Linked DNA regions of Schizosaccharomyces pombe. The protein of the gene in region 2 interacts with the protein of the main gene of each other region in a pairwise test. Each region holds a gene or a part of one and is shown on either strand. Other genes may lie near its edges. The genes, in order: SPOM_SPAC4F10.17 and pil1.

Region 1 (3,439 bases), on a different chromosome or scaffold from region 2:
AGCTCAAACACCCTTGCAGAGTTGTTCTGAGCTGAATAGATAGAGCGTAACACACCAGAAAATAAACACATAGCAAACAATAATAGAAAATTGAGAATTATTGTCCAATTCAAGTCACGAGTAATGCGACTTCGTTTAGAAGGAGTTAACCCTCGATTTTTCTGTATGCGAGTTTCTGATCCTGTATATAAAACAAGACCAATAACCCATTTTGAATTTCTCAGAGTACACCCACACAGTAGAACGTTAGAAATACTAAAAGGTTCTTCATGTATTTTTCTTCCGTTTGTACTCTCAGACGGTGATTGCACAGCGCCGGGTGCTTTGACGACACCGTTCAAACTGTACAGATCAGCATGAGGCTGTTCACATTCAACCCAAAAAGATGCCGCACTACACCTATACTCTGATTTACAGCATTTTGTTGAGCATAATGCGTATTTATCTTTCAAATTAGTTTCACCATCAAGGTTTTTTGTTTCCACATAGCAAACACCGTTTGAGTTTTCTGTGCTTAAGATGAGCAAGTCAGCAGGAATCGCTTCATCAGCCAAAACCTTAACGATATCGCCCACAAGCAAACTTTTCCTACACACACGCTCAAATTTGGCATTCGATGAGCCTGTTGATTGTTCCTGGATGACAGAAAAGCTGTTGGAAGGACCACTGTTACCAATCTCATGAATCTCAAGACTATCTTGTGAAACAGATGATAAAGTAAAGGCAGAGTCGGATTCGAGACTGTGCCTGTGGGATATATTATCCACGGTTAAGGTAGCGAGCCCAGATGAGATACCGGAATTTTTAAGGCAATAGGACATATCGGCGACGGTATGAGAAATAAATTTTTTTAATTTTCTCCATAATCCAATATGCTCGCCTAATGCATTGGCATTATTGAACCCTACCAATTTCCAAGTTAAGGTATTATTAAACTTCTTATCAAGAACACATCTCCGATAATCCTCAATTCCATCCTTAATAGCTGTAGTAAGCAAAATAACACTCAAAGGAATAAACGATAAGCCCAGGTGCTCGGGACAAAACAACGGAATACATTGAAGAAGAGTGACAAACAAAAAAAAAGCATTTGCTATGTTTTTAAATTGATTCCAAAGATTTTTGGGGATAAACGAAACTGGAGTATACTTGGTTGTGCGAATTTTATTACTAGGAAACCATTGCGATGGTAAATGCCTGTGTTCTTCTGGAATGCTAGTTACGTAAATTCTGCGAACAGAAGCATCTCCACTTTCGGTCCCAGCTTCATTCTTCTTTGATGTAACACGGCTAGTCCATGACTGATCTGAGTTGTTACACGAACCTTCAAAAGAGTTAGCTTCCTCATCATCCCTCGAACGTTGTTCCGCATGTGCTTCTTGTGAAAACTGGCTTTCGTGATGACGAGAAGAATAATCAGTTTGGTTTGTAGGTCCCTCATGAGCTAATGAGCCATTGTGCTGAGGTACATGGTGTAGATGATTAAAAGCACATATGGATAAGCCATGCAAAGAGGATTTCAATGAACTAATAGCATCAAAATTGATTAGGCTAGGCATCAAAGGGATCTACAATTCCTCAAATTCTTCCCAATCAGTTGCAGAATTACGAACGACTGCAACGTTCGACGATACCAATGACACAACTGGGAAATAAACAGAATTGATATCGCTTACGTACAGAATTAGTTCAATTAAGCTCAAAATTCGGCGTAGAGAAAGTCCTTTGAGGAGGCAAAATGGGTATGGCAAGATGATGTGTATTGATGTAATCCTTAAGTGCTGGGGTGTACTATATATACAGTGCAAAGGGTATGGGTAAAGTAAATAAACGATTTCTCAATAACAACAAATAAAGCATATTTATTGTTGTTTAATTTTTTTCGTCTTGAAAAAGAAAACAGAATTGGAAAATTGCTAAGGCACCATAAACAGATAAAGTATAACGTTTTAGTTCATACCCACTAGCGTTGGTAACTAAAACTTACACAAATTTTATATTTTTTGCTTTATTTTTTTTATCTTCATATTGTTAACATGGCGTTTCGTGCTGCAAGAATTGCTTTCGCTTGGAAGGCAACCAATCCTGCTAATACAACAATTCGTCAATATATAAAAGAAACACTGGAAGAAGCACCTGAGAAAATCAGTCAAACTGTCAAAAAAGCAACTGGTAAGGCTTCGAAAAAGATAGATGAAAACAAAGATAAGTCACCACAGGAAATGGCTGAGAATGCAAAGCAATCGGTAAAGCAAACTGCCAAGGATGCAAAAGATACCGACTATCAGCAAAAGGCGAAAGATGCTGGTAAGAAAATAAAAGAGGAATTTAGCCAACGGTCGGAAAACGTACTCGAAGAAACTCGTCGTGAGGGGATGAATCGTGATGGTGGTGTTAAAAAGGAATAAAGAGGATTCCTTGTAAATGAATCGAGTTAATGTATTGAGTGGAAGCTTGTATACAAGCTCCTTGATGCTCTTTATGATTTTAAAGATGCTTCACGTTTGAAAACATCGCTTTCTTTTTGGATTTATATGAACGAACAATGCATGATTTACAAAACGAAGCTAGAAGATTGTTAATAAACTAAAAATCATAGTTCAACGGTTCCTGGCTTTTATTTACAAAATAAATTCAATTTTTGATGATAGCAAAAAAAAAAAATTTCATGATTTAAATAAGAATGAGATTATCGCGAGATGTGTTAATTATATTCCGGTTGTATAGTCTGGTATTCGTGGCAGTGATACTGCATATTTTGCATTGCCGATGCTAGCCTTAGTATGGACTTGACTGTATGTAAAAACTTTATGGCCCACATGCTGTCAACAGCTACTATGGTCAAATTTAAATTTTGTTATTCTATAGGCCGGATAGTTGTATAAAGGCATTGTAATGGATAATGGTAATAATACTCATTTTGGTCAAACACATTCATGCCATTCTACTCCAGTAAATTCAATGCCGCTCGTTGTAAGCATAGCGATAAATCCCAAAGGCTGTTCAAAGCAATAATTTCAAATTTGTATTGCAACTTGCCAACATTTTTAAAGTAAATAAATTCCGTTATTGTACAGTGACATTCTCATGTTATATACGCTCTACAGTCAATAACATAATATCATTCACCAACATGATAGTACTCGATTGTATTATATTTTACTAGTCTTGAAGCAAGAATAGCCATAGCCCTTGGGTTTTTGAAGTTGCCAAGATTTCGGCTCAGAATGAAATGCCCAAGCTAAGATTTCCGAAGGTTTTTTCAAATTTTCAATATTTACTGCATTTACTCCCTCCACAAAATCTGGTTTATACGAGAAGATGTGACTGCTAAAATGATCATTATGCTATAAAAAACCCCATTTGTCGTTTACAATGCTTTACATTCGTTTTTATCCACACTATTCACAAGCCTGTGTCACGGTTTATGTAATTGGCT
Region 2 (5,318 bases):
TTTATTCACATTGGGATTCATTTTACACAAGTGTAGCATAAGCTTCGATTCAATTCTGGTATAACTAAATTAAAAGTAAAACAATAATTTTGGAAAGGCGTTAATAATTTACCTTGTTTTCTCTTTTTTCGACATTGACTCCTCTTCTAAAGTATTCGCTTATTACTCCTAATTCTGCTCCTCCTAATACATCGATTCCTACTACTTGCATTGCTAATTCTAATAATTACTTCTTAATAATAATAACATACTAACTAACTTCCAACTCATAATACACTTTACTATTCTACCCTTGCAATTTACCCATCTCGCCTTCCATCTTTTCTCAATCATATTATGGTTTCTTATTCTCAAGATTAATCAAATCTACCTACCTCAAAAAGAAAAAAAAAGGCTCTTTGCAACGAAGTACATCATCCTTCACGTGCAAAAGACTAGCCAAGCTGGCACAAATATCCATCATACTACCAACAAAATAATAGCTACGCTAAACCCACTAAAAGCAAAACACACTTTCTTCAAATTCCCCCTCTCACACCACCAGCCAGCCAAGCCAAGCCAGTCTAGAGTCTTTTTCTTCCTCCGATAGCAATAGCAGCAACATATAAAAACAAATAAAATAATAATTATAATAAAAGGTATAATAATAAAATAATTGCGACATCTCCGCCTTATAATAACTATGTAAAAATTGAACAGTTTCTTAGCTATGAGCAAACTAGGGTTTCCGTCTAACATGCTCTCCTTCGCGCACGCCAGCTTATTAAATTAAGTTTTCTTTCAGCTCATACCTGTCACTGACGAAAAAAATAAACCAATCAAACTCTCGGTCGATTGAATTCTCAAAGCAACATATATCCACGATTGTAATAAAATAAAATAAAAGGAAAAAGGGGAGAAAAAAAGACAGTTTAAAAAATTTTTTTTCCATGGATAACAAAAACACAACCAACAAATATTGAAAACTTTTGACGTTTTTTTAACCCCTTTCATTCAATCAAACAAATCTTTCTCTATTCCGTCCACAAAGGGAATATAGATAGATAGATAGATAGATACCACCACACCTTCAACAAACTTTTATCCGTCCGCATCATTTTTTCATAACTCTTTATAAAAAACGAGAGGTGTGGAATTTGCAATGCCTTTAGCCTGTCTTTTTTTTTAAACGCCAATTTCGTCGAAGCAATTCAATCATACACCACCTTCCTTCTTCCTTCTATGACAAAAGAAAAGAGAGAAAGGAACCAGATGACACATACAATTATTCTTTAATAAAGAAAATAAATTATGACCAAACAAGGACCTGGGGAAAAGAGTAGTAAAAAAGAGTCGACAAACGAAGGAAGAATATCATAAACCCATTATCGTTTGTCAGTAACGATTGTTTCTGGGATCATCAATCCATCCAAAAAGGAAAAAGTCACGAAAAAGCCCAAATGGGATTACGATAAGCTTTCAAGAAATTTCTTTTTTATTTTCGCTTGACACTGCAATTTCCCTCTCCACGACGACAAATAGAAAAAAAGTAAAGAGTTTTTTTAAGCAACCTGGACGGCGGTTTGCTGAGGAACGGCATCGCTAGACTCAGAAGCAATGCGAGACATACGCTCAGCATGGACATGAGGGTGCATGCCAGGCTCGTTCTCAATGATCTCGCTAGTGTCGGATTGAACGTCGTCTTGTAAGTGGGTGACTTGCTCAACGGGGACGGGCTCACCTTGAGCCTCATACTCGTTCCAGGAACGAGCGTCACTTTGGGCATCATCCTCGATTTGAGGCTTGACAAAGTTGACGGCGGGTTGGCTGGGAACCCAAGAGCTCAAGGCGTGCTCAGCATCCATGACGATTTGGCGGGAAGTCTCATAACCATCGTAGGCAGGACGAGCCTCACCGGGAGTGACGGGGGTGTCGTCAATCAAGTTCAACAAATGTCTGCCATAGGTGGCAATGAGGTTGAGCTTCTCGGCATGCTCGTGGAGGGCATCCAAGTTGAAGGTCATGGCTTGCTTGAACTTTTCACGGGTGGTGTTGGAAAGTTGAGCCTCGGCAACCAAACAGGCAGCCTCCTCACGAACAAGCTCTTGCTCCATGGTGACCAAGCGAGGGGATTCAGGATCCTTATGCTTAAGAGCATAGATTTGATCCAAGAGCTTTTGCTTCTTCTCACGAGAGGGTTGGACAGAGGACTCGATGTTACGGATGGACTTCAACGTCATACGGTATTGGTCATAACGATCGATCAAGTAGTTCTCCAACTCGGCCATCTCGTAAAACAAGACACCCAATTTGTCGGTGACGTCGCTGATATCGTCATCGCAGTCCTCACCCCAGTAGGAAAGTTGGCGAGCACAATCACGACGGCCACGGATGGTGACCTCCATACTGCGCATCACGTTCTTTTCCATCTTGACCAAGACAGCCAAACGCTTAGCCAAGTCAGGGGTGAAGGTGGCAGCGTGGTTGATACGCATGGTATGACTCAAGGGGGCAAACAAACGACCACTACGAGTGGAAGAGGAGGGAGGAGGGGGGTTTAACAATTGTGAGGCCGTAGGGGCACGGCTGTTTCTTAAAGAGTACGCACGGTTCATCATCTTGCAGAAATAGAAATAGATGTGGGTAAATAAGAAGAGATGGTAGTAATAATAAAAATAAGTGGTAGTAGTAGTAGTATATTAGTATGTGATGATACTAATAAGAACAATTATAGTGAGAATAATTTAGTAGAGAGAGGACGAGTTATAAGTAAAAAAAAAAGAGTAGGACGAAAAATGTTTAACACTTTACCAAAGGGCGATACGAAATTTCGTGGGTATATAGTTAAATAGGATAGATAGTTAGATAGAGAGAGTGTGTATAAAAAAAGCCCAAAAATAAAAAAATTTGTCGACTATATGAAAAAATGGAAAGGAGTCGGGATTTTTTTTTGGGGAAAGGGAAAAACGAGGAAATTTTCCTTTTGGATTTCTTTCAAATTCACTTAGCTTAGCTTAACTTTTGCTTAGCGGCTATTCTCTGGGTATAACAAAAATGTGATGGGGTATATATAAAAAAAAAAAAGATTATATATATATATATATCCCAAGGTATGTTATATCCTATGGTATGAGAAAGGATACTATAATAAAGTATAGTATAGTTAAAGGATAAAAAAGAAAAGAAAGTTTTGACTAAAGTCAATGAAAACGTGAGTATGGATAAAGGTGTATCGGTAAATGAGCGAGCCAGTCTATATATACAAAGCTAAGGTGGGAAAATGATATCATCACTTGCCGTAGTGAACAAGAGTAGGTAAACATCATTTGGTCAGCTTGCTGGCCACAGTTGCCATAGATATGTCCATTCCTTCTATCACGTAAACATGACGTTCCCATTCGCGATAATATAAAACCGAATTTCTTTCTGGATAGCGATGTTGACCAATGCGTTTGGCGCACCGCGTTAACTGGAGCTGAAGGGGGAGGGGAGGGGGGCAGCGAGTGTTGAAGGGCCGATGGGGTAAACAAACGCGTCGTCGTTGTGAAAGAAAGAAAGAGAGTGAAAAGAATGAATAGGCCGGGGAGTGGTAGGATGTGGTAAAGAGAGAAGAGGGAGAAGTGACGATGGGTGTGTTGAAGAAGGATAGAGCAGAGGAAGGCAAAGTGGGTAAAAAGGAAATAGAGTAGAGAAATGAATAGAGATAGAGGGGATAAAACGGAGGAGGATAGGACAGAGGAGAATGGGATAGGATAGGATAGTGTAGAGGAGGATGGAGTAGCTTAGGATAGAATAGTGTAGTGTAAAGTAGAGTAGAGTAGAGTAGAGAAGAGAAAGAAAGGTAAGAGAGAGAGAGAGAGAGACAAGAGAAAAAACAAAAGATAAATGGACCGATAAAGATAAATATAGAAAGAAAGATAATATAAATGGATAAATATGGATGAAACAAAAATAAAAAAAAAGGTTAAAACAAAAGAGAATAGAATAGAGAAAAGGTAAAAGTTAGAGGCAACAAGGGTAGGTAACAAGGAACGAGGTGACAAGAAATGGAAAAGTGAGAGAGAGAAAAGAAGTAGCGAAAGAGAGTGAGTGATATTGTGAAGAAGTGAGTTGTGAGTGAAACGGGATATGAGTGTAGTAAGAATGAAGAAAAGAAAGATGAAATGAGTTCAGAAGAAATTAGATGAATTCAGAAGAAATGATTGTAAACGAGTTTAAGAAAATGCCGACGCTGACTATGAATGAGTATTAGATACTTGCAACAATTTTATCAGTTTATTCGGAAGATGAAGAGGATCGAGTGAATACGGAAATATCTATCTTTGGCAATACGGGAATGGAGCACCAAATGGAACACGGGAGTGTAACGGGCATGGCATGGCATAGCATAGCATAACATTGCATGGCACATGGCATGGCGATGTACTGATAATAGCTAGAAATGCTAGAGTAGCGACGAGAAGAGAGAAAAAAGAGCGACAAAAGGAAATAAAATAAAACGAAAGAAAATAAATAAACAAAAGAATACTCGAAATAAAATAAAACGAAATAAAATAAAATTAAACGAAATAAACAAAAGAATACCTCTATTATTTCCCTACTATTTTCCTACTAGTTCCCTTCTACTTTCACTTCCTTTTTCATGGCTCTTCTTCTCTCTCCTGCTCCTCCGACCGTCCGTACTTCTCTCCCTCTCTCAAATCTCTCTTCCCGACATATGGGAAATCTTCTTTTCCCTCCTCGCTGCCTTACTGTACTAGACTCCTGCTCTGCCGCCGCTGCCTTGCTTCCCTCCTTTCCCTACGGTGCGCGCGCACGATAACCAAACGCCGCAAGAAGCGATCGTCTATTGGATAAAGTTAGTGTCTCATATAGCCGAGGTATGGGAAAGGTGCGCAAAGGCAGTGCGCAGCAGGACAGACAGTTAAGAGGGTGCCAAGCAGTGCAGTAGAGTGCAATGTAGTACAGTAAGCTACCACGTAAATGTAGCAGAATGCAAGGCATTTCAGTAGGTGCAATGTAATGCACTATTTTACAATGTAATGCATTATTTTACAACGTAATACACTAACTAACAATGTAATACAGTACGTTCGCTTTCGCAAAGTAATACACCGTTTTGTTATCACCTCGTAGTTTTTATTTGCCCATCTTGCAAGGAACGAATTGCTGCGCTGCTTTAAAATGCATAGTGCAATACCTTATAACGTGCTGTATAACCTTATGCATCGTTTATCTATCAGTGGAAAAGCTCTTTCGTACTTTGCATTTAACGTGGAAACCTACAAACTCGTTCCTACTTATTCCATACTACGCCAAACTACACTGTACCCCCGTTG

What was found.
Region 1: the proteins of pil1 (region 2) and SPOM_SPAC4F10.17 interact in a two-hybrid assay, tested with the Schizosaccharomyces pombe proteins (one large-scale study listed by BioGRID).

Annotation. Positions count from the first base shown.
Region 1 is NC_003424.3:4,866,552-4,869,990, forward strand, and holds SPOM_SPAC4F10.17 (uncharacterized protein), read left to right. Parts: upstream 1-1,824; 5' UTR 1,825-2,036; coding exon 2,037-2,408; 3' UTR 2,409-2,732; downstream 2,733-3,439. Other genes in the region: SPOM_SPAC4F10.16C (P-type ATPase), read right to left, coding at 1-1,559.
Region 2 is NC_003421.2:346,451-351,768, reverse strand, and holds pil1 (lipid binding protein Pil1), read right to left. Parts: upstream 3,211-5,318; 5' UTR 2,598-3,210; coding exon 1,542-2,597; 3' UTR 604-1,541; downstream 1-603. UniProt on the Schizosaccharomyces pombe protein: Negative regulator of cell wall integrity (CWI) in unstressed cells, probably by inhibiting protein kinase ksg1/ppk21 activity and regulating their downstream CWI pathways pck2-MAP kinase pathway and protein kinase gad8 pathway.